Lepisosteus oculatus: one gene and its partners. The protein of the gene in region 1 interacts with the protein of each later gene in a pairwise test. Links are inferred from orthologs where the notes say so. Each region holds a gene or a part of one and is shown on either strand. Other genes may lie near its edges.

The links.
Region 2: the proteins of rad54b (region 1) and transcription elongation factor A N-terminal and central domain-containing protein interact in a two-hybrid assay, tested with the Homo sapiens proteins (2 studies listed by BioGRID). The two-hybrid records come from large-scale screens. The link is inferred for Lepisosteus oculatus from reciprocal best matches to the Homo sapiens genes RAD54B and TCEANC.
Region 3: the proteins of rad54b (region 1) and ribc2 interact in a two-hybrid assay, tested with the Homo sapiens proteins (2 studies listed by BioGRID and IntAct). The two-hybrid records come from large-scale screens. The link is inferred for Lepisosteus oculatus from reciprocal best matches to the Homo sapiens genes RAD54B and RIBC2.

Annotation. Positions count from the first base shown.
Region 1 is NC_090705.1:7,543,234-7,553,547, forward strand, and holds the start of rad54b (DNA repair and recombination protein RAD54B), read right to left. Parts: upstream 4,688-10,314; 5' UTR 4,605-4,687; intron 4,583-4,604; exon of another isoform or gene 4,227-4,582; intron 3,404-4,226; 5' UTR 3,386-3,403; coding exon 3,239-3,385; intron 2,210-3,238; coding exon 2,038-2,209; intron 1-2,037. Other genes in the region: rnf41l (RING finger protein 151), read left to right, coding at 10,273-10,314. UniProt on the Homo sapiens protein: Involved in DNA repair and mitotic recombination. May play an active role in recombination processes in concert with other members of the RAD52 epistasis group.
Region 2 is NC_090708.1:21,957,409-21,968,129, forward strand, and holds transcription elongation factor A N-terminal and central domain-containing protein, read left to right. Parts: upstream 1-6,493; coding exon 6,494-7,699; 3' UTR 7,700-10,289; downstream 10,290-10,721.
Region 3 is NC_090702.1:9,009,050-9,019,883, reverse strand, and holds the start of ribc2 (RIB43A-like with coiled-coils protein 2), read left to right. Parts: upstream 1-6,420; 5' UTR 6,421-6,522; coding exon 6,523-6,639; intron 6,640-7,755; coding exon 7,756-7,837; intron 7,838-9,259; coding exon 9,260-9,583; intron 9,584-10,834. UniProt on the Homo sapiens protein: Microtubule inner protein (MIP) part of the dynein-decorated doublet microtubules (DMTs) in cilia axoneme, which is required for motile cilia beating.

The DNA of each region.
Region 1 (10,314 bases):
AGTCAGAGTTTCAGAAGCATGTCAGGCTGCTCTGGTATTGCACAATGCTGACACACAAGATTTACAAAGAGCTCCTGCTGCCAGACTAAATTGGCCTCTTCTGCAGGCCTTGGACATGTAACCTAGGAACAGCCCAGTACTAGTCTGTTCTATTTACAGAAATCTTTTTTTACCCTCTTTGTGAATTTTGATGTGAAATTAAAACAAAAAAACTCTTCAGAGTAAGATTCCCCATTTACTTTACTTAACCTAATACGTATTACATCTGGTTTTAAGTTACACGAAATAATCGATGCAGTCCTAATCTTTCTAAAACACATTTCTACACCTCAGAATGGAAAAAACATCTGCTAGTGTATTCCAACAATTAAGAAAGGAACTTATTAAAGTAGCATCAAAAGACCTATCGACACTTAAATTACAATAGTGAATATTATTCCTTCTAGTTCAGTCATAAAACCATTCTTTACATCTGTTCAGCAGGTCTTTGACATTTCACGGTACACAAAAAATGCTCTTACTGTATATGTTTTCTCTCTCTACAGGAACATCCGAAACAAGGACAAAAGGGAGACTCCAGGATAAATTACAAGAATATAAAACAAAAAGAGCAAAGAGTAACATTGTGAATTGGCATGAAAGACATTTTCTGCATGAGCACGACAACTCTTCAGTACACCCCAATCAAAGCAGAATAGCCAAGGCAGTGTCAGTACAGCACTGCCCAGGCCTCTGCTGTACAAAGCACATGCAGCTCCTCCAGTACACCAGCTTACTGAAGCTTCTGCTCACTTCACAAACAGTGGTAAAACATTTAATATTGAGCAAATAACACTATTCTGTCTGCCTGCTTGTTTTGCGTAGCCTACCTTTCTCCCAGAAACACAGATCATCTAACGACCCCCCCCGGAAGAAATGCAAAGAACACATTAGAAGCATTTTTCAAAGTGTATCTTCTGCTTAATGATAGCAGTTCAGGCTGTCCCATGAAAGTACTGTATGCTGCTTCATCTATAAGGCTTAAATTTAAATTCACACCTTTACCAGTGAAATGGAACTACCTACCAATGACATCATCCCTTAAAAGCATTTAGCAAAAACAGTCACAAATGTAATTCTTTTAAGAAATGCAATATGAAAACACAGCCACATTTGCATTTTCTCATTAGGTTGCAAGGCATAGTACACGTATGTTATAAAGGGCTTCTGAAATCTCTCATTTTATATCCTTAATGGTCAGCAAGCATTACAGTAGAAACATACTGTAGATCACATCAGAATAATTCACTAGGGCCTCCGCAGCCTCATATCTAAGAACCTAAAATTACATCCTACTCCATTCACCAATCACTTCCTACCTTTGCAGCAATTAGTTGTTCCTGGCCCAAAATCATATCCTAAAATCCGTTTTCACCTTGTTCATGAACTACCAGATTTAAAGGTTTAATTCTGCACACCGCTATTCAGACTATGGTGTACAGAACGTTACCACCATAACTGGACAGACATGACATTAACAGAGAACAGATAAAGATCAGATAAAAAAGGTCAAAACCATTGAAACAATGCTCAGAATCTCCAGTGCCTTCCTGAAAGAAGGAATGCTTCTAAGGTGTATGCAAGATTCTAAAAAGCTAAAAGTGTCTATTTTGTTTTTCTCGAATTTGTCACCTTTCAACCACAGTTTGTCACTTATCTATCACCTTCCTGGACCAGGCAGGAAAAAACGAAACCATCCTTCTATACTGTATATGTAGCATCACACTGGACCAAAATCATAATGCTGCATTGTTCTATACTGACAAAGCCATCTCCTCAAGGGCAATGCACCAAGTTCAGCTTTCACTTTTAATTGATGAAGGTTTAAGTTTTACTAAAGACACTTGCAATTCCTGTACAGCAGGCAACTACCACTTTTTTTTACAATAGCAGATTTTCGATCTCAAGTGTGAGGTTCAAAACATCACGTTGTCAAAAAGCTCAAGCCTATGAAGACACAGCCAAGAGGAGTTTTAGTAGATATGATGCTCAACTCACCATCTGGAGTCCTGTGGTCTGACTCTTCTTCTCTCACAGTAAGACTATCGGAGAGTCCCTGCAGCTTTGAGCTGTTCTCCTCGGTGTCACCCAGGGGAACAGCATTAAGGATTCTTGCCAAGGCTTTGGATAAGACAGGGGCCTCCGATTTATTTTCCTGGGGAGCTGTCACCTGCAAGAAGCAGTTAAGACAAGATCAGGGATCAATACAATGCAGATGATACCACAGCAAAGAAAACACTCTACAAGACCTTGGCTGTTTAAATGTATGGAAAGTTCTATTGCACACACCGTGCACGAAACACTGGACTGCTGGACATTTCCCCTGACAGGGAGGTTTGATTAAATGTGTGTTTGACTGCAAAATGCAAAAAGGCTTCTCACATGTTACATTTGAAAATACCGAGACATCACTGCCAGCATACTAGGACATTCATTATCTGGAAGAAACAAATCAGGACACTGCTCACGTCAGCAAAGGCACCGGTTCTTTTTCAGCTTTTATTTAGTGATGAAACAGTCTCCCTGTAAAACCTATACATAAAACGTCAGAACGTTCAGGTTCTGATCAAAATATTCACTTTAAAAACATGTGTATACTTCATTTGTAATTCACTCAAATGGGACATTATTGGAAAGTAAGAGCTGGTATAAGACGCTGTATATTTTATTTTTAGGCAAGCCCATGCATACATATGATCATTTTAGAATAAAATCTGGGTTAGGGTTAGGGTATTGGGACACCTTCACTTTCAGCAAACTTGATAGCGTAAAAGCCAGTGTTTGGTTGCTGATCCCTTTGGGACAATAACAGAACAAAGTCTGCGATCCACACAAAACCCTAAGTCTAATTATTTAAGATACTTTTAGCTGCAGCTACTTTGGGTTCTTTGGATGTTGCGAGTTCAGTTTCTCTTCATCATACTGTATGAAATGCATGCTCAACTGGGGAATGACGTAGTCAGCTTTTCTTTTTTTTTACCTCCACTTCATCCTGCAGAAGCCCCAGTCTCAAGGAATCTGAACCTTCTCAGTCAGTCAGTTAGTCAGTCTGATTTATGAATCACATATCTAGAGCGTAGTAATTTACGGCCCATAAACCTAAATATCAAATTCCATTTCACAACATCTGCACAGTACAGGGGGGTTTAAAATGGAAGTTGTAAGCAGCCTGGGGCTACTGAGCGAACGCCTTACCTACCTTGTTCAGCGCATTGCACAGCGGAGGGCTGGGGCGTTTCGGGTCGGGCACAGAAGCAGCTCTCATGTGCATCGATGCCGGGGGCACAAACCTGGGCTTCTTGGCCACATTGCCACACAGCTGACTTGGAGCCCCTGACCTGCGCATACTGAGATACCAGCCCACCTGCAGGAGTTCAGAAACAGAATAGTTCTATTGAGGCATCGCGTGGGCAGGCTTGCTGGCCCCTGGGTCTTACGATAGCAATGAAAGGCCATGATTGCGATGGACAGGTAATTGGACAACACTATCCTCACGCTGGTGCTCACTAACCTCGGGGAGAATTTTATGAGAGTAGGGTTAAATCTAGCAACCTAATTACGCTTAGGATGAAATCGAGGGTATTGTTGATCTCTTGAAAAGGGATCCTTCAGGCAAATAAGATTTAAACAGCCCAGTACTATGGATATGTTTCCCAAAATATGATGAGTAACATTTCTCTACTTCAAAATGCAGATTACATACAACAAAGCAGCAATTAAAAAAATGATCATCCGAATAAATTACAGATTACAGGTAATCTCATTGGGAGATTTATTACAAATTCATTTTTAAAAAATCATGCCGTTTCTCGTTAGCCTTCAAACTGACACGTCAGTGGACATAACAGCACAAACTGTTCCATATGTAGCTACATATCGTACCGAAACTTAAAGATTATTTTAGCATCTCCGAAAAAGACCTTATATAGACTTACTATATTAAAACAGAGCACATAAGCAGAACTGCCAGTTAAACGGCCGTCCGATTACCTTTATGTTGTGTCTATTACCTGAAAGCTAGACCCGTTTTTAAATGATGTGCTTATATGTCCGATCTAGGTAGTTGTGGGAATGAGAACCGTCGATAATAACGATCCAACAGCCTTCCGTTTTATTAACTGTGGCATAAAAAACAAAACAAAATAGTCAACCTTATCCACGATATACAGCACCGCATTATTACTTACATTAGAAACTTGCAACCAAGCGGGCTAGACGGGCCAAATGACGCCCTTTCTTATGTTTTTATGTTCTAGGTAGACAGAACCCCTCTATACCACAATAAAGATTATTTTTTTTCCCTACAAATCCTCTTCTTATTTCCTCCCGGCGGCGGCCACCTCCGTAGACTCAAGTCTCCCGCGTAACCAGGATCCGCCCTCCGATAGGCCGCGGTCATGGGGCGGAGATACGAGTGCTCCCACCTTCATTTCGCAAAATGAATAGCCTTGCTATTATTAACCTTATAATTATAAGCTCAAATAACGTGAACACAAGAGATTAATGTTCAGACGTGGATAAAAAAGCATCTTATCAGTAAATAAAAAACCTTTTTTGTGCTTTACCGTCACTTCTTGCCACACCGATTATGGTCGCCGTTACACTCCATCTCATGGCGGATGTAAATGTATTTTTAATAGGACGCAGGAATCTGGTCCATAACGTATCATTAGTCTTTTTCATTTTCTATATAAAATACAGAACCACCCGTATTGAAAGCTCGGGTTTAGAAATTAAAGAGAAAAATCCTTAAAACCGCTCCTGCCACACTGCCGAATCACCCCTCGCCGTTTTTTTTGCCGAGTGAATGTCAATATATCGCCACAGTTTGCGACAGTTGGTTCTTGTCACCTGAAAACAGCAGGTAAATAAAATACATTGAAGTAGAGGAATCGAGGGTAAGATACGCGGTGCGTTTTAATTATTCGTATTTGCCTTCCATGTAATTACAAAAAATATTTTTATACGACATTCTGATGCAAAAATACTGAATACTGAAATGACTGGTTTAACTGTCATTGTGCAGAAAGCTTTTCAAATACTATAAGAAACGTAACAATTAAGTCTATATTAAATGGTAAGTTGATTTATGTTTTTCATATGCATATAGTGCTGTGCATTGTGAATTCTGCCAACTTCTCTCCTGCACTGGCTTTCTGTAAATTGTAAAGAACTGTAAATATTTTAAAAACTAAACTTTAAAACAACAGTTCGTACGTACAGTAGTAGCAGTGTAGTGGTGATGTACAAGCATTGCATAAGATTGTCCGGTTATCAAAACAATCAATAACTTTAGGTACTGTAGGTGTACAAACCACGAAGTAAGAGGATAAGATAATAAACGATAATAAATATTTATTATTTTCCCTTTTGAGCTCAGCATCCATGAGCTTCAGTATAACAAGGGTTTCTGTTTGATCCGGTAAAGATACCTTGCATTGTTACTAATACGATATTAACATGGGGGAAGTTGTTAAAGTAGTAGTCTGAAATGGCATAGACGTTCTCTATGTGGACGTCATGAAGCTGAACAGTGTTCGGTAAGTATAGCATCTCAGTTTAACATTGCGCTTTCGAAACGATACAACACAGAAGCTTAGTTGTAGAATTTACCAGTTGTAATTTCTTACAGCTTGTAAGAAATTTACGATTACCAGCACAGAGCAAGGGAAAAGGGTTGTGTGTCTGATGAAGCATGCTGGAGAATCAAGGCTTACAAACTGCAGCAGTGCCAGTCTGTAACTTACAGTGTAAGGGGTTACAGTACATGCAGATAGTGGAAACATAAACTGTGATTAGAAGATAGGGGGAAAACACTGATCTGAACACTGAAAATGCTGCTTATGAAAAGGAAAAGGTAAAGGCATTTGTGCAGTAGTAAAGATTGCACATCTGCAAACTGCCTCGCAGAGCTTGGCAGATTTCACTGTGTGACTGCTATCTTTATTAAAAAGAAAAACATTTGTTGTGTTTGTATTTGGGTTAAATAATTTCGTACATTCAGTTCCAAAAGGAGGTTCTAAATGCACAGGTATGAGCTTGTGCAGTTCTGAGTCTTGGATAAACTTGCTCCATGTATCGCACCAGTCCAGGGGAGTGTGATCCGGATGGCAGGGTGGGTGGGGATACACCACGAGCCCTGTCCCTTGCTGGTGGTGGACTGTGATGCACCCTCCAGTCCCTCTCTCACGTCTCTATCTGTTTTACCCGGTGGAGAAGGTCTGAGTCACAGTGGTTCAGGGACCCATCAGCCCCTTTAGGGCACCCTAGGCCCTCTGACGCAGTGGCAGAAGTGTGCGGATGTGTAAGAGAGCTGGGTGGAGCTAAATAAAACCAGTCTTTCCCTGAACTACATCTAGTGGATAGTGCGCACATCTACTTTACCTGTTGGCCTTCCCTCATAAATTTCTGTGTTGACATCTGTCCATCGATTTTCTAACCACGCCAATGCATCCCATTCACAGGAGGAGCCTGGCACAAGGGGCACGAGGCGGGGTACACACTGAAAGGGGCACCAGCACACACAGTCGTACACACACCAAGGCCAGTTTTCCCTGAAGCCAGTTAACCTACCAATATGTCCTGGGATTGTAGGAGAAAACCTATGTGAACATGGGGAGAACATGCAAACTCCACACAGACAGCAGCCCAGGTCCGGCATGGAAACAAGGGCCCCAGCACTGCGAGGCATCAACGCTAACCCTTGTGCCACCATGCCATGCCACCCTCTGTGTTGACAGTGTTTTGTAATGGCTTGTTGTTTTTCGGATGACTCTACCATAAAGTAGTGTGTTATATTCAGGGTATCGTCACCTACAGCGGAGTTGTAAGAATAATCTTTGACATGGCGGTTACTTAAATGCTGACTTATGTACCATGTGCCTTGAGGTACTTTAGGTGATGGTGCTAATTTATCTTTTTTTTCCAGAGTGACAGCCTTCCATAACAGTATTTGTGTGTAATATTTGTTTTCTTGATATTGGTGTAGACAGATTGAGCATATGTTACAAATGTCAGGCAGTTGTAAAATGTCCCTTATGCAAAAAGGTTTCTAAAAAAGAGAAGAAATTCAGTCAGTGAAGGAGGGGTTTTGAACTGAACGCCTTTGCAGTCAGAATACATTTTGGTCTTTGTTTTTTAGACTGCTTGATATAAACTACAAAGACACCTCTCTACTAACAGTGGAAGGTGAAATTGTGGATTTTGTTCTACACTGCTGAAATGTCATTAAGCTAATACCATTAACTTGTAGGGAGATTCTAAGTGCATTCAAGGTCATGGTAGCTTAAGTGCTGGTTGATTGAGGTTATCTTATTCGAAAAGGAATCCATTTCACTCCAGACACGATATCACGTCAGCTGAGGGTCACATGAGCGCTGGGCCTCCATTGTTGCACCTAATATAGTGAGAATTGATTTGAACAATCAGTACGTTTAGTAAAATGGAGGTGTAAGACTAGCGAATCCTAACATCCATCCAGTATCATAAAGCTGCTTATCCTGGTAGGAGTCAGAGCAAGCCAGAGGCACCAGGCAGGGCTGGGAGCGCATTTGCTTGTTCTCCCTCTGGATGGGAAGCCAGTCCTTTGAGGGGAGCTGCACTAACGCATCTATTGAAAGTGCTGCAACAAAAGGAGTGTTTAATGAGAAGGGGCGGCTTCTATCACCAGTGACTCCGAGGAAAACTAAACTCCTGAACTAACTTGGATTCATTGCACTTGCTGCAATTAAGTGAGTGACCCTCAAAGCCAAAAAAGAGGACATTTGCTTCCTTGTAAATTGATCATGTCAGAGAATTGTGTGCACAACTTTTACATGATGATGATGAAGTGCTCAGAATGTTTGATTTTATTTTTGCAAGGTTGATACTTATGTCCTTTTTTCTGCTTTGATATGCAAGAGAGAGACTTTCAGTAGCAAGTTTAAGATTAAGGTGTGTTTGTCTGGAAATGTAATGTATACTCGTAATGCAATTATTGATTTTCTATCAAAATTGATTTTTTTGCCAGTTTGGATTTGGACTAATAAAAAGCAGAGCAGGTTTATCACAATCATTCATTTCTGTCTTTTAAAATGCATTTTTAACCATTTTATTGGAGTACTTTATGGGGACTATAATTGATAATTATGTATCAATCATTTAGCCTTTCTGTAAACATTGTCTAGTATAACTCCTAAGTGTCTATAATTTCTGTACTTTTCAACATATTCTTATTGGCTCAGACCTTGTGGTATTGACATCTAAACATCAAAGCAGTAAATATACTTTTTCAAATAGGGCACATCCCCTTCCCTTGGCAATTCCCTTCCCTTGAAATTTGCCTGACACTTTGCATTTAACTCTGTGATGGGCCTCAGACTCAGATTTCAGGCATAAAATGAAACAAGGGCGTAGTGTACAATCTATCAGACATGTACAGAAATGTTAGGTTATGTAATTAAATCTGGTCAGAAATGGGAAAATCCCAGCTTTTCAGCCTTACATTTTACATTGCAAGAATTGAAGGGAAATATTTACAGTAGAAGATGGGCCTACTTGCAAGTTTTCAAATGAAACCATGACCCATCTCATGAAGGGGATGTCATGTATGGCTAATATTTACACTGTAGCCATTTCTCACAAAGTTTTTTTTTTAATCAACATTAAAGGTAAAGCCAACAATCACTTTTTATTGGTATGTCCCAGCTAATATAAATAGTTTTTTTAGCTTTTACTCAACCCTGATATGTTTGTTCTCTAACCGATGCTCCTGTTTTGTCATTTAAAATTTTAGAAAGGTCACCAAAAGTGAAATTAACCAGACGTTATCTCTTAACCCCTTGGTAGAAGAGCAGTGAGGAAGAATTTCAATTAGGAATATTTCCGGACCCGGCAGCAGAGCATCACCACTACAGAGTAAGAAACGCACAAGACAGAATGTGTCATAAATTACGGTGAAATAATCCATTAGGCAAACCCCATCTTGAGTGTGAAGTGAACTACCCAGTGAAGTCCTTTCACCTTTAGGAAGGTTTGCACTGTGCCCCAGCAGTGAGAAGCTAAAGGACAGGCCAGTGGCTGCCTCTTATTTCTAATTTTTCTTCATATCAGACATCAGAGCACATTTAAAAAGATATGGCTATACACCATAAGAAATTCAAAAATTTATTTTTTTTTACATATTTTTGTTTACAATTCTGAATTCTGGGTATTTTTTTTTTTTGCACTAATTTAGCAGGCGAAATTGGAAGCCGTGAAGAAGGAGGCTCTTTATTCGGATGGCTAAGGCGGGCACTGTGTCCGGTATCTCAGCAGAGGGCTGGGGGTGGCTGACATGCTACACCTCTGTGGGAATGCTCTCTAGGGGAAAGGCTGAAGCTCTGCCCATGTGAACGCGGGGTTATTGTTTGCTTTGTTCAACAACTGGCTGTTTGGGCTCCAAGTATCTGTTTCTTAGGAAACTCAACAGCTCATACCACGTTTCTGTCTCCCCCCCATACAGGCAGTGTCAGGGGCAGGAGTGAAGGATTACAGGGAGCCTTAAAAGGTGAGAAGGAGAGTGAAGTGAACTAGACAATTGAAGATGAACAAACAGAGCATCGGGAGAGGTGTTTTTCTGTTACTATCTTTTATCTTCACACGTCGGTGCGTGCTCACCTTTCCTGTATCCTGCCGTTCGTTGTCGTGATGTCTGCAGTGTGATTCTCGAGGTCTGTGTCCACAGCAGAATGTAATTAAAGATGTATGCTGTGCCTTGAAACTCAATAGGCGACGTGCAGTACAACTGCAGTCTGTAGCTGCTCGCCAGCTATTACCTCTTGCTCTTTAAGCCTTAATGCTGATGTTTGTAACTGGCTTTTTGAAATGAGAATTATGGGCCTTAAAGCAATCTCAGTTCAATTTTAATCCTGCAGGTTTGATGGTGCAAGTCATGGAGTCTTGAGACTTCGCATTCTTGTTTTCCCTGTGATGCATGCTTATTATCCTTATATACTCTACAGCCAGGTATCTTTTATGTTTCCTCGTTGATGTGGTAATAGTTATGTTTTGACTCCAATTTGCGGTTTGTTTGCCAGTAGTAAATTGCTTAATCTGCATCAGGGAGCCTGTTTTTCTGACGATAATGCTACCAGCCACCCCTGAGGTCAATGAAAAAGAAATAACACGCATGAGAGTTTGTTTTTTGAAGAAGATCGTCTACCTGATGAGGGGGATTTCTTTCCCCGTGTGTCCGTGTCTCAGTGGGCGTGCCAGATGGGTTATGACCTCGAGCGGTTTGTGGGCTACGTGAACGAG
Region 2 (10,721 bases), on another chromosome or scaffold:
ATAACAGGGATCTCAGCCGCCCAGGCTGGGGGAGTTCTCCTTTAGCTCAGTTGGCAAATTCCCTGTTGTGTGGCACTGGAGACCCAGGTTCGTGCCCAGGCATTGAGGGACGAATTGGCAGGGCAGGAGTGGTGAGGGGGGAAACCCAAAGACCTGTTACACCAACTAATCTACCTCCATGACTTTGGACTGTGGGAGGAAAGTGGGGCACCTTGAGAAAACCCATGCAAACATGGGGAGAGCATACAACCCCCAGGCAGTTATCACCCCAGGTCTGGAAGTGAACACTGGGCCCCAGTACCACAAAGCAGCAATGCTGACCACTGGACCACTATGCTGCCCCTTCTTCCAGTAGCTATCAAAATTATTTTAAGTTACAAACAATATCCCCCCACCCTCCCAAAAAGGAAATATATACCATTTTATTTGTTCGAATTTAGTGTGAAACTTTCACCCTGCATTTTAGAAAGTTGTTGTGTAACATTATCAGGCCACTTCTTCATGCTGTGGCTGCTGACGTTATTGGGCATCCCACAGCAGGAAAGTTCAGCCATTTCTTTTTTAGCTGAACGTGATGACAGACAGACCAAGGACCAGATGGGCAGGAAACCAAATAAAGATTAAGCAGGTATAATTGCATAAACAACTGAAAGTTACAGTGTAGTGACTGACATCTTCAAAATGTGGGACTATCTCAGGTTTCAGAGGTGTCATATGAAGAGCATCTTCTACTGAATGAGGAAAAAATCTAATGCACTATTGGAAATGTGCTGCTAATGGGGGAAAAATATATCTCTTTTTTCATTGTCACTGAAACTCCACTATATTGTGTAAATGATATATTAAATGGGGTTGTTACTTAAGGTATGCAGATCAGGGAGGTTAAGTTGTTGATTACGGAAATTTAATAAATGTGATTAGGCATAACAACTGATGAGTGCAGTTCTTCATTAGCTCTCTTTTAATCAGGATTATAAATACCAGTAAGACAGGCTGCCTCTGTCACTAGAGAACCAATCTCAAGACAACAAGGTTGTTAAACAGGATTAAAGACTGACAATGAGAAGTCAGGAGAGGGGAACAACCTACCCAGCTGTGTGATTGAAGCTGATATTTTGGCTTCTTTCAAGAAAAGACTGGATGAGACCCTTGGATCAATTAACTGAGTACCAAACAGGCTAGATGGGCACAAATGGCCACCTCTGTGTTGTTACAGTTCTGTGTTCTTAAGTGTGGCCTTGCCTAGTCTGAGCTACTGCAGGAGATGTACAGTATAACGTGTCTACAGTTTTGTTGTGCCCTGTTTCTGATTGAGAGTTCTGCCCTCTGCCCTTGATAATACATATCAATTTATTTTATTTGCAATGAAATTGATTGGTAAGGTCCCAGCAATATTAATAAAGTCTAGATTTACTACTTTTAAACCATTTGTGAAATACAGTATGGCCCTATGAAGCTGATGTTTTGACCTGGTTTTTGATCCCACATTGCATTTAAGGAACAAGCCATGAAAAGCCCAGAACTCATCTCTTCTGTTTCAGCTCTCGCTAACAGTGAGCGATGCTGTACACGCACTTATAAAAGTAAACACAGCAGAATTCTGAAGTCCAGTTAGCAACATAACAGGACCAACGGATGGTATATTTTCAAAACCAGAATAACCACCTTGCTTTTAGGAGAGACTGGCCTGTGTGAAACAGACGTCGATGCTAAGAAACAAGCTCGGAAGCGATCCTAATCAATCTGTTAGAATTTATTGTTCCTTACAGTGCTGGGGCCACAATAAATCCCCTCAGAAAACTCAAGTTTCTTGGAAAAATCAAAGTAATGACTGTAGCAGATGCCAGGCATGGTGAATATTATCCCATATGTCAGAGGCAAAGGATTAAATCTTCCTACTATAATCTGAAGCACTGAAAAAATTGACTTTACAATTGCATTTCTAATTATACTTTTTAATATTTGAAGGTGATATTCACTTTAGAACTTTCCTTAAGCATCTGTAAAAAGTTTACTCAAAAGCTTAAACATTCAGCAGCTATTTAAAAGGCGAGGTATAAAGGTACTCTCAGGGAGCAGTGAGTGTGTGTTCTCCGTTGGCGTACAGTATATTGTTGTATCATATATTTTTTGGAGGGGAGATACTTTCCGTAAGACTCTTGTACCTTTCTTCAATCCAAACAAATCTAAAGCACATTCAAGTTTTCATAATTCCTGGAAACTGTAACTCAGGCTTAGGTCTGATGGTTATAATGGCTGCCCTTTTACCATTTTTGCTATGTTTTCAATCACACTGTGCAGATGTATTGGCCATTTAATTCTGTATTTCATTTCCCATTAAATATGATTTTAGGGCTTACTTTACCCTAGTAACCAGTAGCACTGAAATTTCTTTTTCTGAAACCATCGTGGAATATTGAGCCTTATAACACTTACAGTCCTTATTTATAAGAGTGCAAAAACTATTGTCTGCATATTGACATACACTGTAGGTATGTAATGATTACTTTGAATCATATTTTTATTACTTTATTACTGGTGATGTTTGATAGTCATCAGGAGAAACAGGCATACAATTTTCAGTTTCACCTGCATCTGTTGGTATGCTTTTCTTTTCTGTAATGATCATATTGTCACTGCAAAATAAGCACCTACTGTACATGCTTCTTTTTAAGCTGACCTGCAAAACTAATTTAGATTAATGAAGTTAAGTAAGCTTTCACACTTGATATCCATAAATTCAGGCAAGTATCATACAGTCTGGAAAGGTGATCCATTATTGTTCACTGAGCAGCGACTCCTGGGCAGCTCTGTGGAAAAGCCTGCATTGTTCTTGGCCAGACAGGAAGGAAGAGACCCTGTGATCGTGGTTGTGCTGAGCTGAGGGAAATAGGCTGTTGAGTGGTAACGGTCTCGAGCAAAACTCAAGATGATTTACCACTTGGACTACAATGCTAATTTACTCTTTTTTTTCTTCTCATCTTACCGTCTTACAAGTATTCTTTGTAGTTGTTTGTAGACCTCAAAACAGCAAGTTGTAACAGCGGCAGGTTTATTGGATCAGAGGGAATAGATACTACTGTATATGCTTTCCATGACATCATAGGAGGATGACTAATGGGACTTGAAACACATGACATAATGTAAATATAGAGGAATTTAGTTCCATACTTGGTTTTGAATGTAAGAACCCTAAATCTTTTAAAGTTGAAGCTAATTAAAAACACAATGTTCATAACATATTATAATTAATAAGAAAATGAAAGAGAAAGTTCAACTGAAATTCCTTTTAGGCCATGGGTTTGGCAATTTAAGTAGAGTAGAGTAGTAGAGTTTTTCCTACATCTCCTTTAACAGAACCTAATTACGTTTGGGAAGCTGCTGCTAAGACTTAAAAAATTATTTAAAAACCTGAATTACAGTATCATTAGTGCAATCTGCTGGAAATATCTTACTCAAAGGTGTTCTGAAAATCAAGAAACATAGTAAGCCCAGTAACAGAACCTAATAAAGAGCTGGACATACTTTCACTGTTCAATTCTTTTGTGATAATGTTTTTTCTGATGCTCTTGCATCCATCCATTTCTAACCACTTCTCCACACACAGACACAAACACATACATTCACAACAGGGCATATTTTTCCCACAAGCCAGTTGACATACCAGTATGTTTTTGGACTCTGGGAAGAAACCGGGGAGCCAGGTGGAAACACATTGAAAACATAAACCTTCCATGCATATAGCACCCCAGGAATGGAACCCAGGGGCCCAGTTCTGTGAGGACACAATTCTAAGCACTGTGCCACTGTGCTGCCTGTTGCTTTTTCAGATAAAACAAAAAAAGCATTAAAGACATTCCTAGGTATCAATTACAGCTGTCACTGGCAGGATTAAAGGAGAAAAAAGCACATTTTTAAAACATGAAATGTATTATCTCTGTTGCAGGGGCTGGGACCGAATACTCGCCAAAGTTGAAAGATCTGTAGCTTTGGTTTCCCATTAATCATATAATTAAAATATTAATTTAATTATATGCCGCCTTCACACTGCCTTTAATTGAGTTTTTCCAGACACATACATATTATTATAAAATAATCTTATTTTCAATCTTCATGGGCTGTCTTAAACTCCAAGGGCATTTATTACACACATTTGTAATGGATCAGAACCTTTGGGAGGCCATTAGTTTATTGTGTATACTGGAGAACAAGAAAAAGTTGCGAAGGTGGAGTCATAAGACTTGTACTACTTTGGCATGGTGAGTCAGGCTGTGCAGCAAACATCAGTGAACATCAGTGAATGGTTTGCTTTCCAAGGAGCCCACACATTTGTTGTGAAATTATTGGTTTCTGAACTCAGCCTAGCCAAATGTGCAGTGCATATATATACCCTACGCATGCTGTTGCTTCTAGTTTTTAAAAATCAAAATGATGCTAGCTGACCTTTACTGTTGTTGTCTCTGTTGTCGCTTATTACTGACAGCCTGCAGACAATCTTAAGGGGGGAAAATGATTCTCATGTCCCACTAAATTGCCAGTCTCCGACAGTGTGGGAACCTATTTAAGTTTATTTAAATAGTGCACTGTGGAGACACTTCAGTACGGGGATGTGCATTTAAAACTGAAAATGGAAAGCACTTTTTTATAGTGCTGTGGATGCCTGAAACTCCGGCTGTGTTGTCGAAGCCAATATCCTGTTTAATACCCTGGGTTCTTTCACAAAATGGATGGATGACATCCTCTGGTCAATTAGCCACTGAATCCTAGATAAGATGGATGGGACGAATGGCCTCCACTTGTAAATGTCCTGGAGGTGAACAGCTTTTATTGTTGAACATTGAAAACATTTTTTCACAATGAAAATTATTATAAATTGTCACCACTTACTACTTACTAGTTACTAGAGTTATTATACATACTCTAGGTACGTTGACATGAGGTACATGTATGGTTAGTATGTATTGTGTATTGTCATTATAACCTTTGAACAATATACATAAAGAGCTAAATAGACTGTAAACATTTTTCACAGTGCTATCTATATATGATTATATAACAGTTGAACAGAAACCAAATGTGTGTAATTTTAGATACCCCGCCGACCCAGCACTATCGAAACCAGAAACCATAGCATCATATGCTATACGTATAAATACGTTATGCTGTTTTTCCATCCTGCAAATCAATTACACAGCCCTAATAACTGTATCGCATTCAGCAGTCCTAAAAGCTTGAGGTTTCGACTCAAGCTTTTAGTGAATAATGACTTAATCGTTTCCCACAGTTACTGTAAAATTAAAATAAACTAAAATAAAGAACCCAAGCATTTAGCATTTTGCTGTTTCTTAGAATGCTGAATGCGTCTCTCTCTATTTATTCTATTATAAATACTTCAATGTATTATTGTTGCTGGTGATGGCGGTGGTTTGAATTGTAATTTGTGAAAGAGAATGGCAGCTGTGGAACCTTGTGAAGACAAACACCACTTACCTGGTCGATGTGCGCCCCCTGGCGTGCGATACTTGTTTCAGCAGCAAAAGCCTTGTAAAAAATTATAAACAAACATGGCGGTCGACCGGTGGGAGTGAAAGAAACGTCTGTGCATCTTAACGGCGAGGATTTTTAACTGCAATTTCCCAGTATGATTTCATATTTCTTGTATATGACACACCTATATGGGTATATGAACACAACAGGATTGGCTGTAAAAATGATTTTTACACTTGAAAACTTCAAGGAGCTTCGTAAAGGGCAGTTAGATTCTTACTGAGTGCCTGCGTGTTGACATCAGGTTCTGTAGGTAGAAGTACTTTACTTTGTTGTATTAACAATATTGAAAATATTAGCTCTGCGTTTTGGGCATGTGATTTAGCAAGAACTCACTGACATTTCGGTTTGAAGTTAGAAACTACTATTTTCAGTTGTAGCACTCTTTAACTCTGAAATGAGACGCCCGCTGTCATTCTTCAGTAGGACAGATTTTATTAATTTAAACGTACATACTGTACAGTATGCAGCACGCTAGTGTGAATTTAAGATCTGCATGTAGGGGATTTACCTACCGTGTTGTAACTACAGTTTTCGATATAAAATACAAAGCAAGAATTATGATGTTACTACAACAAAATGCATGAAAAATTATATTTATGTTCATCTAACGAAAAAAAAATCAAAATGTATTTATGCACAACAACCTCAAATTGCTGTACAACAGTATATAAAACAGAAACCAAAAGAAACCCAAACATGCACCCCATGTTTTTCAAAGGGGTTAAACGCTTCTCCACAACTGTATTTGGGTCCAGATCAAGGGTGGATTAATTTTTAAACACTGAAATTGCTAGTTTACTGCATGTTTAAACTAAATTATTCCATATTTGAAAGTGTTGATTTTGTTAATTCTGAGATTTTGGGTATATATAAAATAGGAATAAATATCATACTTACTGCTGCTGATTACAGATTTTGTGATATGCTTCCATAGATTGGCCTGATGATGGACACACAGGGAATCATTTGTCATACCCGTCAAATTGAAAAACGTCTCCATGAACAGAACCATCAAGATATTATGCTCTTATTAGAGGAATTAGAAATGGCTCACATTACATTAGAACAACTTCAGCAAACAGATATTGCAAAAGTTGTTTATCGGGTCTGTAAAACCTGCCAAGGGACTTTGGTGAAGAAAAAAGCGAAGGTTTTACTGTCAAAATGGAAGAAGCTGTTTACCAATCCTTGGTGCAAAGCATCCTATCACCTTGCAGGAAAAGGCCCTGATGAGAAAAACAGTACTCGAGGGCCACACACAGAGAAAAACCCATCCTGTTGCCAGTCAGAAATAAATGAGACTCACTGTTCACAGTGCGGTCAGTTGGAAGGAAACGAGAGCTTTATCAGTGAGAAAGACAAAGCTAAAGAGACTAATGAGGCAACACAACATAATTTATTCCACTGTGTGGCCAGCAGAGGGGAGGTACTGAAAGAAGATGAGTTTGGTTCAGCAATAAGCAAAAATGAAAACAAAAGTGATCTTTCTAGATTGGAAAACAACGGAAACACCCCAGCAGTTAGATCCCAGCCTGGCACAGTGGAGAACGCTGGACATGATACTTCAGGGGTGACTCTGGAAAAGGTACAGCCTAGCAAGATACCTCTTAGGTCCAAATGTATACAGCTGCTCTTTCAAGCCCTTATTCCTGAGGGAGCTGAGCACACAGAGTCCGCAGGGAACTGTCAGGAAGTTGCCTGTGCGATTGAGGAGCACGTTTTTATCCTCCATGGGAAAAACGAAAGAAAGTACAAGTCTTTCATTAGAAGTAAAGTTTCTAACTTAAGGAACCCTAAGACCCCTCACTGGCGTCAAAACCTGCTGGGTGGACAGCTGAGCCCTAAGGTGTTTTCTGAGATGTCCGTGATGGAACTGGCAAGTGATGAGCTAAAGCAGATGAGGTCAGCGTACATAGAATCTGCCATTAATGAACACCAGCTTCCCCAAGGCGTGGGCGGGACCCAGACAGATAAAATAAAGTGCCGGCGATGTGAGAGGTTTGACTGCACTGTGACACTCATTTCCAGGGGTACCCTCTTCCTTCCTAGTTGGGTACGCAACGGAACCCCAGATGAGCAGATGATGACTTTTGTCATCTGTAACAAATGTGGTGAGAAATGGTATAACAGTGGATGGATTTGTTTATAGTAACTGGTGCAACCGGTTCGAACAGTACATGTTAATCATGGGTTGAAGGTTTGCATTTCTGGTACAGCTCGGCTCTCTCCGTGGCACTATAAGACAGTTGTGATGATGAGGATCTTTAAGTCATTGTGAAAATGTTGTTCTTTTTTTTCCCCCAAAGTGCCTCACATTTGTACTGGTTTGTGCAGTTACATTTTTGTGTGTGGATTTTTTGTGATAAGCTACTGTGTGTCTCGTTTTTATGTTATTTTTTGTGTTTGGTATTTTTGACTCTGTATTTTGGCCAGAGATTGAATGAAATTTTCAGAATTTGTTGAAGTGAACTGGAAGAACACTTATTAAATTAAAATAGCTATGCAGTGATTGAAGATAATATCTCAGCAGTTTCTGTTCATTTTTATTATAGATGAATAAAAAAGGCCATCCTTTGTCACTCTCATTTGCAGAACACAGTATGTGTCAGCAAGTACAGCTATAAGATATGCCATGGACTGTATTTTAATCATATTTTAGGAAACTTGTCTTTTCAAGATAAGCACATTACATAAAACAGAACCTCGAAGAAGCTGAAAGTGCCTAAACAGTTGATAATTTAACAGACTAAATCTTGATCCAGAGCTGCATTACTATAAATATAGATAATAGAAAAAGTGTGCAGAGTAATCAATTTAACTGCACTTAGATCATATGGTCTTTACTCATACATGTGACTTTGTTCAAAAATGCTCTGCATGTGACTTTTTTCATGTCGTAGAAACTTCAGGAACCCTACTGCATGGTACAACTCCTTAGCCTGTCAGAGTTATAATTTAAGTAATGGCTGAATGCTATTCATTTGTATTTCAAAGCAGATTAATACTATATTCTTGTCAAGCTTTATCAACGTGAGATATATGATTTAAAATCATCTATGCCCAGTAATACCTAATAAGTCATTTTATGTGTGTATGCTTTGGTTTTAAATTTCTAACTGTATTCCTTCTATTAATGTCACACCTGAAGAAAGCTACTCCGTCAAAATGTTGTATCTGTTCCTTTCAGTATGGAACAAACCTTTACCTGTTCTATTAAATTCATTGTGCCAATTTCAGTAGACATCTAATTACAGTATATACTGTATAATGCATTTTTGAAACAATTTGTGTTTAAAGTACACCCTGTTAATTCATTCCAGGGTTTCTTTTTTAGATTGTGAGAACTTTTCATCAGGAAATTTCCATAACCCATCATAATTGGTCATAAAAAGTGGTGCTACATGAGTTTTCCAATGTTTATAGATTATCTTTCTGTTTTGAAATCATAACAATGCTACTTAGAAATTTGGGGTATGCTCCAAAACTAATTAGTTGGCCTGACAATATTACATTTTAACTCTCTTCTTGCTTTGGAATAAATAATAAAATACTTTGAGAATTCACTAAGGTTACACAATTACAAAGTGTGAGCTAGAAAAATCTCTTTTAAAACCACTAATGGCAACTTTTTTGTACTTTAGCATAATATTGAGTTTTGTTTTTGCACTTTAGCATAATATTTTGTTGTGTGCACTTGTTAAACTATAAATTAATCCCTTAACTGTTCTCGAAAAAGAAAGGTCTCTGACGTTTCTATAGCATTCTACGACCTGGATTTTTCATTCTCAGGTTTTGTTTTTACCTTTTCTTTGCATTTTCTTGCTCAGTGATATTTTCAAAAATATATAGTTCTTTAATGAGCTATGTTTGCAGTTCAGTCTTCAGTTAGGTCACTTTTGTGGAATTATATTTAATATTCAATTATAGGTAACAATGTTAAGTTATGTCTTCAACTCAAAGTAGTGGTTTATTCATGTCTAAGGACTCCACTTACCCCTCACAGATGTGAGGTAATGTCCATAATAATAAACCAAATTAGAGGTTATGAACCAAATGTATTGTCTCTAATTTTATGTGCTGAGAGAGGGAAAACCTGCTGTTCTGCAACTTAGTTTCCACCTGACAAAGGCAAATGCAATAAGAGATTTTGAAAAACCTGTATAATGTAGACATCTCTCAGAGTTACAGAGTTTTCCTACTGTACGAGACTGGACTGGAAAATTCCCACACTGGTAGTTGTGTAAACAGCAGACAATGTGCACAGATGAGACAATCCATAACAGAAACCTAGTCACCTGTATCAAGTTAAAGGCAGATGGAGAAGTTAGAGGTTTGTGTTCAGTTGTAGGCTTAAAGATAAAAAATGACATCTAGACTTGAGTTTTAACCAGAAAAACTCACAAATGGACATTTTCTGATGTTGTATAATGCAAAATTAGAAATTAATACAATTCTGTAAGATTTATGCTTGCATGCAGACATAGTGCTAGACTGGACCCTAGCTGATAGACAGTTCTTAGCATGTTCGTATTTGTGGCAAAATGTACAGTATATACAGTATATTATTGTGAAATGGTGATAAAGAACCATCTTCAGAGATGTGGGTTTTCTGGGAGATTCAGGTGTTATCTTTGTTTAAACTTTGATACATGACCAGCATAACAAAAGCTTATTTTTATATCAACAACAAAAACACTTAACAAATACCGTATATTTTGATAAGATGATTATGTATCTTGTTCTATTTTTTTATCTATATTTTGAGGTATGGGTACCTCTTTGGAACACCATTGGAAATAAACACGGTATAGACAAGTCACTTCTTGGTAATTAATTAACATAATACCTTGAACTGAAAGACTTAATGTACATGTTAATTGTTTTTCAATATCCTGGATGTAACTTGCACCAAGTACGTCTTACCTGACAGTGCTGGCAAGAAATTTAGCACAGTGCACAAGATATGTTGGAGAGTTTATAGAATATATGTATTATTAATATCATGTCCTATAAGCCCATCTACTCCCAAAGCCACAAAAAATGAAACCCCTTCAGAAGAATTTCATATTAATAGAGAAAGAGACCAAATTTAATGCTTAACATTTTTGATTACATGCATTTTGATATTATAAAAAAAACCTACCAGAAATGCAAAACCACTAGAATAGGTA
Region 3 (10,834 bases), on another chromosome or scaffold:
TCTAACCTTAGACTCTGTGTCATGATCGTAAACCCCTCCTCTTAAGGATGCTCCAGCCCTTCCTTGTTTATTCTTTATCTCCTGCACCTGACTCCGGTTTCTGCCCCCGTCCTATAAAAGCCAGACGTTCCTACCAATCTAGGCTCAGCTTTGGAAGATGGATGTCTGGAAGCAAGCCTACCCGCGAGTCCAGGAGCGACTCGATGGCATAGGCTTCACAATGGCATCCTGACCATCTGGGTCCGGGACTGGTAGCACCTGGCCCCGTAACCCCATTTTATTTCCCCCAACCCCTTGCCGGATCCCACTCTGGCTTTTAACTTCATTTGTCTGTGTCAGGATGGATCACCCGGCTTTGGACATTGGCTTTCCCAGGATACTCTAACGGACTCCCTTGGACTTGTTCACCATGGACACCCCCCCCCGAGCACCAGTGCACCTTGGACATGCCCCCTGTTATTCTTCCAGCCCCTATCCTGGTCTTTTTTCCCCATGTTTTCTCACTCCCTTCTGGATTGTGCTGTCTGCCTGAAAGACGCTTCGTGATACTATGCTAATTTGTCCTTCACTGAAATATTGTATATGGAGGAAATGGTCTCCTCTCATTTGAATCGTTGTTTATGCTCTTATGGATCTGGACTTGATTTCAACTTGATTTTCTGTCCCTTCATTGGAAGAAACTTTCTGTGCCCAGTTTTCCCAGAAAGAGTTAACCTATGTTAAAAAGAATGCCTGTTCGGCCATCTTTGTAGCACCAGCATCTGCATTGTTAGACTACATTTGATGATTTATTCTTTTATTTTCCCAGGTAAGTCAACTGAACATGAATTTAATTTCTAACAACAAATTATATCCTTCTTTGATTTTATTATACTTGCACTTGATTATTTTCTTACCTTAGAGTCACAGTTGAAATGCCTTTCTAAGCCTAAAGAGTCCCTCCAGCAATGCAGAGCACATGTACCACTAGGGCTGAGAGTGCTGACATTCGGAAGATCATGACAGCTAACGCCGGCAGCACGGGGTTCTGGGATTGGTGGCTCTTCCAGAGTACAAAGAGGACAAAAATCCTCCAGAAAACCTGGAGCAGGCTGGGAAGTTTGGGTGTCCCCTTACATCATGTTTTCTCTGACGTACTGTAGATAGTCACATTAATTAAATCCATCCATTTTCTAGCAGCTTCTTCCAATTCGGGGTAGTTGGGGAGTCAGAGCCTATCCTGGCAAATAAAATAATATACTCCAAAATACAAAGACAGATACACAGCACACACAATTTTCCAGAAGACAATTAACCTACCAGCATGTTTTAGGACTGTGGGAGGAAGCCAGAGTCAGTTATTTAATAATTTAATGCTTTGAGTATTTAGTGACAAATCATTTCTGAATTCTGATCATTTGTGTTTGTTATAGATGATTATTCTGTTCTTAAAATATAGATGATTGTTTCCTGCTCCAGCTTCCTCCTGCCTTCCAGACACATGATGGGTAGCATCATTAATCTCTCTAAATTGCCCCAGTGCGCTTGTGCTTGTGGCTGTGTGTGAGATGAAGTGATCTCCCATCCAGAGTGCTGTCACATCTTCTGCCCTGTGTATATGAGGCACAAACCTTGCCCAGAATCAATACCTTTCACATTGTTTAAATGGTTTGATGTCCCCCCCCCACCATAAGCAATGAAGGGCTATCAGTTGTTGAATTAATTCTTTTCTATAAATACTTTGCTGTCTCTTTTAATACATTAAAGCTATTCCTAACAGTTTGAATAACAAGTCTCAGAATCCTAACAATAGTCATTTTGACATCAATATTAAAGTTTTATTTAAAACATTAAAGTTTCCTGTTGGGTTAAAGCATCCATTTACCAGTATGAACACAAATATGACCTCACCAATACTTATCCTGCGATAGGCAAATGGGTTTGAAGGACGATCTTTTGATTGAACAGGGTAAGTGTTGTTTGCAATGCTTTCAACTTGCTTTGAAGCCATCAGAACCATAGCCTGTTGTGAAAAAAAAAACACTGTGGCTTCATGACTTGGTAAATGCATGCTGATTGAGCAGTAAAACAACATAATTTGTTGGCAAAACCATGTGGATGCTGCACAGTGGTGGTGGTGGAGGGGAGTCCCCATTACCTGTAAAGCGCTTTGAGTGGAGTGTCTAGAAAAGCACTATAAAAGTGTAAGCTATTATTATTATTAATGGTGTAGAAACATCCGGGGCTCCCAAAAGCATTGAATTCTCCTTTGGTAAAGTGGAATTTACTATTGTTGGAAGGTGCTCAGGGATTGGAGTATGTCCAAAACTGAATGGAGATTAAGTCTTGGCTGAGAGTGAGATGTGCATACCAATGTGGTCACCAAGTGACATTGGCCATTTGACTTGAGAGGGAGACTCAATTTATTTGTCAAATCCTGTAATAAACTAATTGTGGGGAAATCAGGTGACCAGTGTGCTGGGATAGCAGCCCAGAACTAGAGCTTCTGCTAAGTGCTTTTCCTTTGTTTTTGTCATCCTTGTGCTGTTTTTCCATTAGAACACATCAACAAAAATGATTATTTGACTGTTGTTTCCCCAGCTGAGAAAAAAGACTGTGATTCTCCTGGAAAAGGAGACAAGTGGTAGCCACACTGCTGGAGCAGTCAACAGAACAGTACTTACAGCTTGTAAAAACTGAGATGGTGGCAATGAGCTGAATCAATTCTAATGTAGGTTCAACACACAAAACAAGAAAAGCACTTGGGCCCGACTTTATTCCAACAGCTACACTGAAATCTTGTGCCAGTCAACTTCCTCCTGTTTTTACAGATCTACCTTACAATCTCTCTCGTAAGCAGGCAAAGGTACCGCACAGTTTTAAGATGACTAGTATATTACCGGTACTTAAGAAATCCATTGTGAACTCCATCAATGACTGCAGACCAGTAGTCTTGACATCTGTCATTATGAAGGTGTTTGAGCAGCTCATAGTTTCCTGTCCAGTGCACACTTGGACCCATGTCAGTTTGCCTAAACAGCAAACAAGTCAGTGGATTGTGCAGTCTCTCGGGGCTCCATGATGTATTTCAACACCTAGCAGCACCCAGCACATATACCTGGATCCTATTTATTGATTATAGTTCTGCTTTTAACACAATCACCCTTCTTAAGCTTTTTGATAAGCTAGAAGAGATACTGTAGGTATTAACCAGACTCTGAGTTATTGGCTACTGGTGTAGGAAGCTGTTGGTGAAGCTGAAGGATACTATCTCTCAGCAAATCAACCGGAGCACAGGAGTTCCTCAAGGTTGTATCTTATCATCTCTCAGCATCTCTCATCTCTCATCTATCATCACAGCAATGAACACTTTTCACATATTCCTGTCTTTAGATCATCACACAGGGTGTTATTGTCAGATCCCATACAGATAAACTCCATAGTTCACCCTTTATATTCTAAATTATACAGGTTGACATTTTCAAGTGTATGAGGTTTGGGAAACTGACTTCTTCTGAAACATTGGCTGTATTGGGAATATCTATATCCCTGTATCTTCCTGGGAGACATGAGAAATAGGAGACATGAGAAAGTTTCCTGGGTTTGTTAGCCTTCCTCTGTAAAGTTATTTAATTTTTACCCTGATTCTGGCCTTCTTCAGCTTGAAATTATACAGTACAGCTTGAAATGATACAGCAAAGGTATACTAACTTTGAGAACAGTTAATTTCAGAAGCATATTAATATGGCTATTTTTTCCATATTTATGAAAAATCAGCCACAGTTTGTGTGGGTTATGTGATGCCAAGCTACAGTATATATTAAAGTGATATTGTGCTGGAGAGCATATGGCCAAATTAATACAACATCAGGGGTGCGCAGTTTGTTGTTTTTCTACTTTTTGGAACAAGTAACTCAGACTGTCCATCACTATTAAATCTACTCTGACAGTTCTTTTGTTAAAATTTGATATAGCTATGTGATAAATAATTATACACAGTATGAAGATAACAACTCCCAGTCTCGGCCTCAGTTACAATTTTACATTATTTTTGGTGCTCTATCAAGGTCTAAAATTAATAGGTGCTTTTATTTCTTTTTTAGTTCTATGATTCCTCTCTCACACCCTTCAGTGCATTGAGAAATGTCTCAACATGGTAGAGCTGGGTAGGCAGAGGGCTAAGCTCTGCCAAACATTCTGTTTTTTAACACCTTTGATTTACAAACACGGGTGCAGTCTTGTCACTAGACAAGACAAGACAAGATATACAGTATCTAGTTGTCCCCTTGCAGATAATGTTGTCATCCCACTTAAACTTAAATGTTTATTCTAGCATTCAACTTATATATTATAGACTAAAATTGGCCCCAGTCTTACACAACTAAATATGATTGGTATTTGCTCAAAAATGTGGTCGCAAAATTCCAGAAAACACAGGATTCCTACTATTTTCTATAACCACAAACTTTTCTTTCTCTTTTTCACTCTGGGTTGAAAAGATGTTTATTATTCTAGCAGACATTTTTAATGAGAATTCCTTCCAGATCCTGCAATCTCAATAAAAGCTACACGCTTACTCTTTCTTTTTTCTTGCATCTTCATTCTGCTATGCATGGCTCTAGTACCCCCTGCACAGTGAAGCTGTCTACACACCTAACCTATAATCTACTGGTACAAAAGAAAGGAATTGGTTTACTCTGCTTTTTCTGTAGATTTTTCATTCCAACTCTTACTAATATGGAACAAGAACTTTAATTCTTTAGATCAGGAAATTAATTGGGACATTATAAATATAGCTTTCAACATTCATCCATCCATTTTCTAACTATTTTATCTAATACAGAGTTGTGGGGTTTTGGGGGGTGCCTAACTCAAGCAACAGGCAGAAGGATTGATACAACCTGGATGGGGCCCCAGTCCATCACAGGGCACATACAGATACAGAGACTCACACACTCACACCAGGGCCAATTTTCCCAGAAGCCATCAGTATGTCTTTAGGCTGTGAGAGGGAACTAGAGCTGGAAGAAAGCTACGGAAACATGGAGAGAACATACAAACTCTACACCTACGGCATCCCAGGAATGGAACTCAGGTCCCTAGAGCTGTGAGACAGCAATGCTTAAGCACTGTGCCAGCATGAAGCCCCAGCTTTAAAAATCCTAATAATGAAATTATCGTCTTCAGGCATTGTATTTGACCCATTGTTCACCACATCTTCCCCATATGGTCCTTTGTTTATTGTCTGTCCAGAGGACATTGTAAGCACTATTTGGAAATAGTTCAGGTGGGTAGCTGCGTCAGCATGCGTAGGCTGCAAAGGAACAAGTAATAGGTTTATTCCATGCTGAAAAAAAGAAGAAAGAGAACACAACATTTCGGTCGTGGAGCCTTCTTCAGGTGTGAGAGAGACAGGGCAGTAGGCAAAGGTTACGACCACTCTAATCTCTCCGTCTGTGTTCTCAAATACAGTTTTCCGAACTCATACATCAGAAAGACCACCGAAACTAAAATTATTCTGCAGCTAGGATCACACATTCTCCCTTCTCTTAACAACAGACTACTGTTCTTTTAAATGTTCTCCATTCATTGGAAGTTTCATTTCACACCTCTCTGCACCCATTCTCACTTCACACCTCTTGATTGGCCTCTCTTTCTGTTCCCTGCTCCCGCCTCTCACTCCTCCTCCCTCCCAACCTTTGTTCTCCCGCTACTTTACCTTTGCCTACTGTTCTGTCTCTCTCACACCTGAAAAAGGCTCCACGGCCGAAACGTTGTGTTCTCTTTCTTCTTTTTTTCAGCATGGAATAAACCTATTACTTGTTCCACTATTTGGAAATGTCGAGATGTTTTGAAAAACAGTTATTGTTTTCCACATTTCTAAACAAACATACAGTATGCTTTGCTTTATAGTACTCTAGATAGTTTACAGTACTCCTTAAGTTATAGTACAATAACTTTGATCTTGTCTCTCAGAAATAAAACTTATTTGGTTGGCGGGTCACTCACCACGGTTTAAAAAAAGGACACAATGTCTTCCCTCTCCTCTTCTGGAGTCAACTTTAGTAGTTTTCTACTACTTATATCAAAGGTGATAGGGAAGACAGTACAGGCTTGGAGTGCTTTAGCTGTCGTGATTTAATTATTATTGCACAGGGCTTCTACCATGGCTGCATAACTATGAAATTGTTTATAATTACGCATTTGTTAAAAGCTGAAAACTTACATGTGCTCTATTTTATTTGTAAAGTCTTATCATACGACATTTGGAAATGTTTATTTTATAACTCAAATATACTGTATATTGTCCACTCATCTTAAAACTATGCTGCAGTATTCTGGTTATTAACCCGTACAAGGATGACAAAATACAGTAAACACCAGGGGGAGCTCACCACCCACGCTGAAACTCGAGGCTCGTTTCCTAGCAACCAGCCTGTGTACAGTAGTCGCGGGAGAGTACACGGAGACCAACACACACACACAAATTCTGTGCGAACTTCATGCAGTAAGCAGAAGTGCAAAAAATTAATAGAAACTGAGATGTACAAACTGGAACTGCCAGCGGATCGTACTCAAGCCGCTCACCTCGAGAGGAGACGAAACGCAGATGTTCAACGGCAAGATAGGATTTTCAACGCTAAAGTCAGAACGATTGGAGTAAGGGGCTCTATATGTTCTATACTAGATGTCTTGAATTTTTAACAGTTTATTTTCGCAATACGTGAATGATTGATATCCTGTAGATCAAAAATTATTCAGCACACAAAATAATGTAACGATTAGATTGAGTTTGATTTCTTATAAATGTTTTTTCTGTTTCCTTCTTAAGCTTGAATATGTATGAACAAATTTACATCTGTATTTTTAAATTACATATACTGTACATAACCCAGCGATTCCCAACATCAACCGCTTCTACCCACAAAAGGTGTAACTTTATAGTTATTTTCACACTTGTTTTCAGTGCTGTATCATTAGTGTTGCAACAACGGAAATCTACTTATTTAATGTTTTATACTTGAATATCGTTATCTAATAAACGAGATTTGTATCGTGTTATTATCACGATTTTTTATTTTCTAATTGTTCACCGTATTGTGCATTGACAACGTATTATACAGTATAATGATACATTAACTCTCCTCAGGAACATGTCTGTATCTGCTTCATCTGCTCATTTCAATGGCACTTCTAACCGCTTGTCTTTCTTATATGTTTTTACTTTGTAACCTGTGGTCCTACTGTTTCTACACCTACTGTTTCTACTTGAGATTTTACTTTCAAAGGTGCTACTGTACATAAAATAACGTTTTTTTGTAATTATTGTTATAGAGGAACATGATCAGATTTTCCCTGGTTCAGAAAAAAAAGATCTGAAGTATACTGGTTTATCACTGTTCTCACACCCTCTTTGGTAAATGGCTTTGCATACTAATCTGATCAAATCTACCTACAGATCCAGCAATTCAAAATGCATGGAGTACGCCGCGTTAAAACGCGGTAGGCGTGGCACATCGTACCGCATTTTAAATGAATTATGATAATAGTATCTAGACATTTATCAGAAATGTTTCATATTGCAGAAATGACCTTGGACTAGCACAACAATCCATCTGGATCGTCTTATATTGGTGGAGAGCATTTCGATAAAATCAGATCATTCTACTTTATTCAACGTAGAATAACTGATATTTTCTTTAATACTTAACACAATTTAGTGCCAGTCTGCCTGTGCAATGCCTTTTCTCAGTTCCTTCATTTTGAAATATCTAGGTGGATAAAGAAGCATTAGATTTCCAAGTGAAGGAAAAGAACATAAAAGAAGACAAAGAAGCTAGGATACTGAAGGCCTACGGTGAGTACAGGTTTCTGACATGACAATGTAAAAATATTAAGTCTGCAGCTGGTGTGGTGGCGCAGTGGTTAGCGTTGCTTCCTCACAGAACTGGGCCCTCTGTTCAATTCTTGGGGTGCTGCTGTCTGTGTGGAGTTTGTATGTTCTCCCCATGTACTCATGAGCTTTTGCTCTGGACATATTGGTAGGTTGATTGGCTGCTGGGGAAAATGGCCCTGGTGTGAGTGTGTGCTTGTGTGTGTCATTATGTGCCCTGCAATGGACTGGAGTCCAGTCCTGGGTGTAGCCTGTTGCTTTTCAGGTGTGGCTTCTGCTCCCCCACAGCCCTGTGTTAGGGAATATTAATGAGGACCCTATGCAGAAAAACCAGGACGAACTCCAGAGGCGTAGTTGATTTAACAGTCTGAGGTCCGAAAGCAGAAGGTAAACAAGCCGGTGCAAAAGTAAAAAATCAGAAGCGGAGCTGTAAGCCGCGAGGAAGCCGAGAGTCGAAGCCAGAACAATACTCAAAGTAGCAAAACAAAACCAAGAGACGTAGACTAACCGGGGTCAGGAAGCCAAAAACTAAGAAGTAATTAATTGGGAGAATTGAAGTAGCTCTAGCCAGGAAAAACCTGACTACTGAGCACAGGGGAGAGTATGAAGCAGCATTAAATTGGTTGGGGTAAATGGGCTAATTGGGAACCGTGCGGGAATGCGAGGTGGAATGACGAATCCTCCGGGGGCGTGGCGTAACACCCTGCATTCGAAAAAGTGGTAAACTAAGAGAACAAGAGTGCAGAAATGTGCAAAAAAAAAAAGGAATTTATAAAAAGAGGAAGTAAGAAGTCTGTAATGTTATTTTTTTATTTTTATGTGAAGGATCCCATGCCTTGTTAGGAGTTTACAATGAAGTGTTTAAGAATTGTTGGATTGTTTGGCACATTTCAGGCCAGCCAAGGTCTCTTAAATGCAGATGCACTGTAATTCATGTATCCTACACTCAAGTTTAGAAGGGAAGAGGGGTCTTGGTTTATTGCCACGACTGACCTGAGCTAACTGCCTGACTCTCTGACCATGTTTACATCTTATAAGGCAACAAACTGTTACTGACCAATCATAAAAATGTATTAGATTTTGCTCATCTTCAACAACAAAAGCCTGTTGTTCTGTTTGAAAAAGCGAGTTAGGGACGAGGTTATAACCTGTTAAATTTGCCTGTCCTCCTTTCTTTATTGCAATAAAGAAATCATGATTTGATTCAGTAGAACTGTGTGTGGTTTTCATTGTGGGTTCTAACATACAGTATGCAAGATCTTTAATACAGATCTTCAATGCTCCAGCATGCAGGGAACTTACATTTGTAAAAGCAGATATCTTGAAAAGAAAAAATGGGTGAACCTACACTCAGAGTTATTAATGCCTTTATGTTTATTCCTTAAGCCGAAGACCTCATCTGCGCTGACAAGGTGGCCTGTTTGCTGGAGCAAAGGCAGAAAACGGATGTGAGAAAGCTGTGCAGGGCCACTGATGAGTTCCGGCACAGCTATCAGAAGCCGGAGGACAGGCGGGAGTTCAATCTGAATGACCCCGAGCAGCTGAAGAAGGAAGCTGCAGGAGACGGCTCGGGCCAGAGGCTGCAGGGGCTGCTGGGAGAGGACCTGACCCAGAAGGAGAGGCGCCGCAGCCAGCAGGAGCAGTTGAGAGAGTGGTCACTGCAGCAGCAGAGGGAGTTCAAGGAGGCCAGAGAAGACCAAAGAGCAGCAGGTATATTCTGGGAAACTACTAAAAAAATGTTACAAAAGAGGCCATTCTACCCATTGGTGGTGGTGGAGGGGAGTCCCCATTACCTGTAAAGTGCTTTGAGGGGTGTGACCAAAAAAGCGTTATATAAGTGTAAGGAATTATTATTATTATTATTATTATTATTATTACTATTACTATTATTATTATTATTATTATTAACCCATCTAGATTGCTTGATTGCTAGTAGCTATTTGGTCCATGTCATGTCTTGAAATAAACCTGGGTTTTGGCTTCAACAATGTGCCTGGGTAACTTGTTATATAATTAGCCTTTTACCACACTATTAAAATGGAATATCAGTATTGTCGCCTCCTACTTTAAGCATCTATTGCTATGGGACATTTTTCTGTGAACAAGAGGTGCCTTCTGCCCTTCAACCACCTGCTACCATTACTGTTGTCGTTGTGACTAAGGTCTTTTTCTAGTTTTCTCTGCTAAAGAAACCTCCGCCCAACCTCGGCAATTGAAATGAAGCAGTAAAATCACAATATTCAACACACAAATATGTAATCTAAAACTCCTTTTGGCTCTGTCCTATTGGAAATAGAAGACCATAACATTTACAGTTAATCTTTATTTACCACAGAGACTCATTTTTACCCTCTCCTTGAAATGAATTTGAGTGGTATAAATCGGGTTTCTTTCAGTTTTCTCTGGGAGAGTACTCAGTCTGCTCTCTTAATTGTTCTCAAACCAAGAAGTAATCACTTTAACACATGAAAACCTTTTTTTTAACCCACTTTCACCCCCCAACTTCGGAGGACTTCTTTATTCTTTACTTTTTATTTTTCACTCTCATTTGTGTTCTTATAAGACAATAACAAACAAAATTCCATTACAATTACAATTACAAAAAAAACTTCCTATTGATATTCTTAACATCCGGTGCGATTCAAGTATGTCTCTACTGGGCCCCAAACATTCCTATACTCATTAACTTTCCTCTGTAAATTATATGAAATCTTTTCAAATTTACCTTGTGATATAGCCTCTTTAATCCATTCTTTGTACGATGGTCCTGTTCTGTCCACCCATTTTCGCAATATTATTTTTTAGCAATAATACAGAGAGTCAAAAAAGTATTTTTATATTGAATTGCTACTTTAACCTTTGATAAATCACCAAGGATACATGTAATGGGAGTAAGTGGAATTTAGATATTTAGGTGCCTGAGAGCTTTCCCCACTGTGGAGGTCCAGAATGACTGTACAG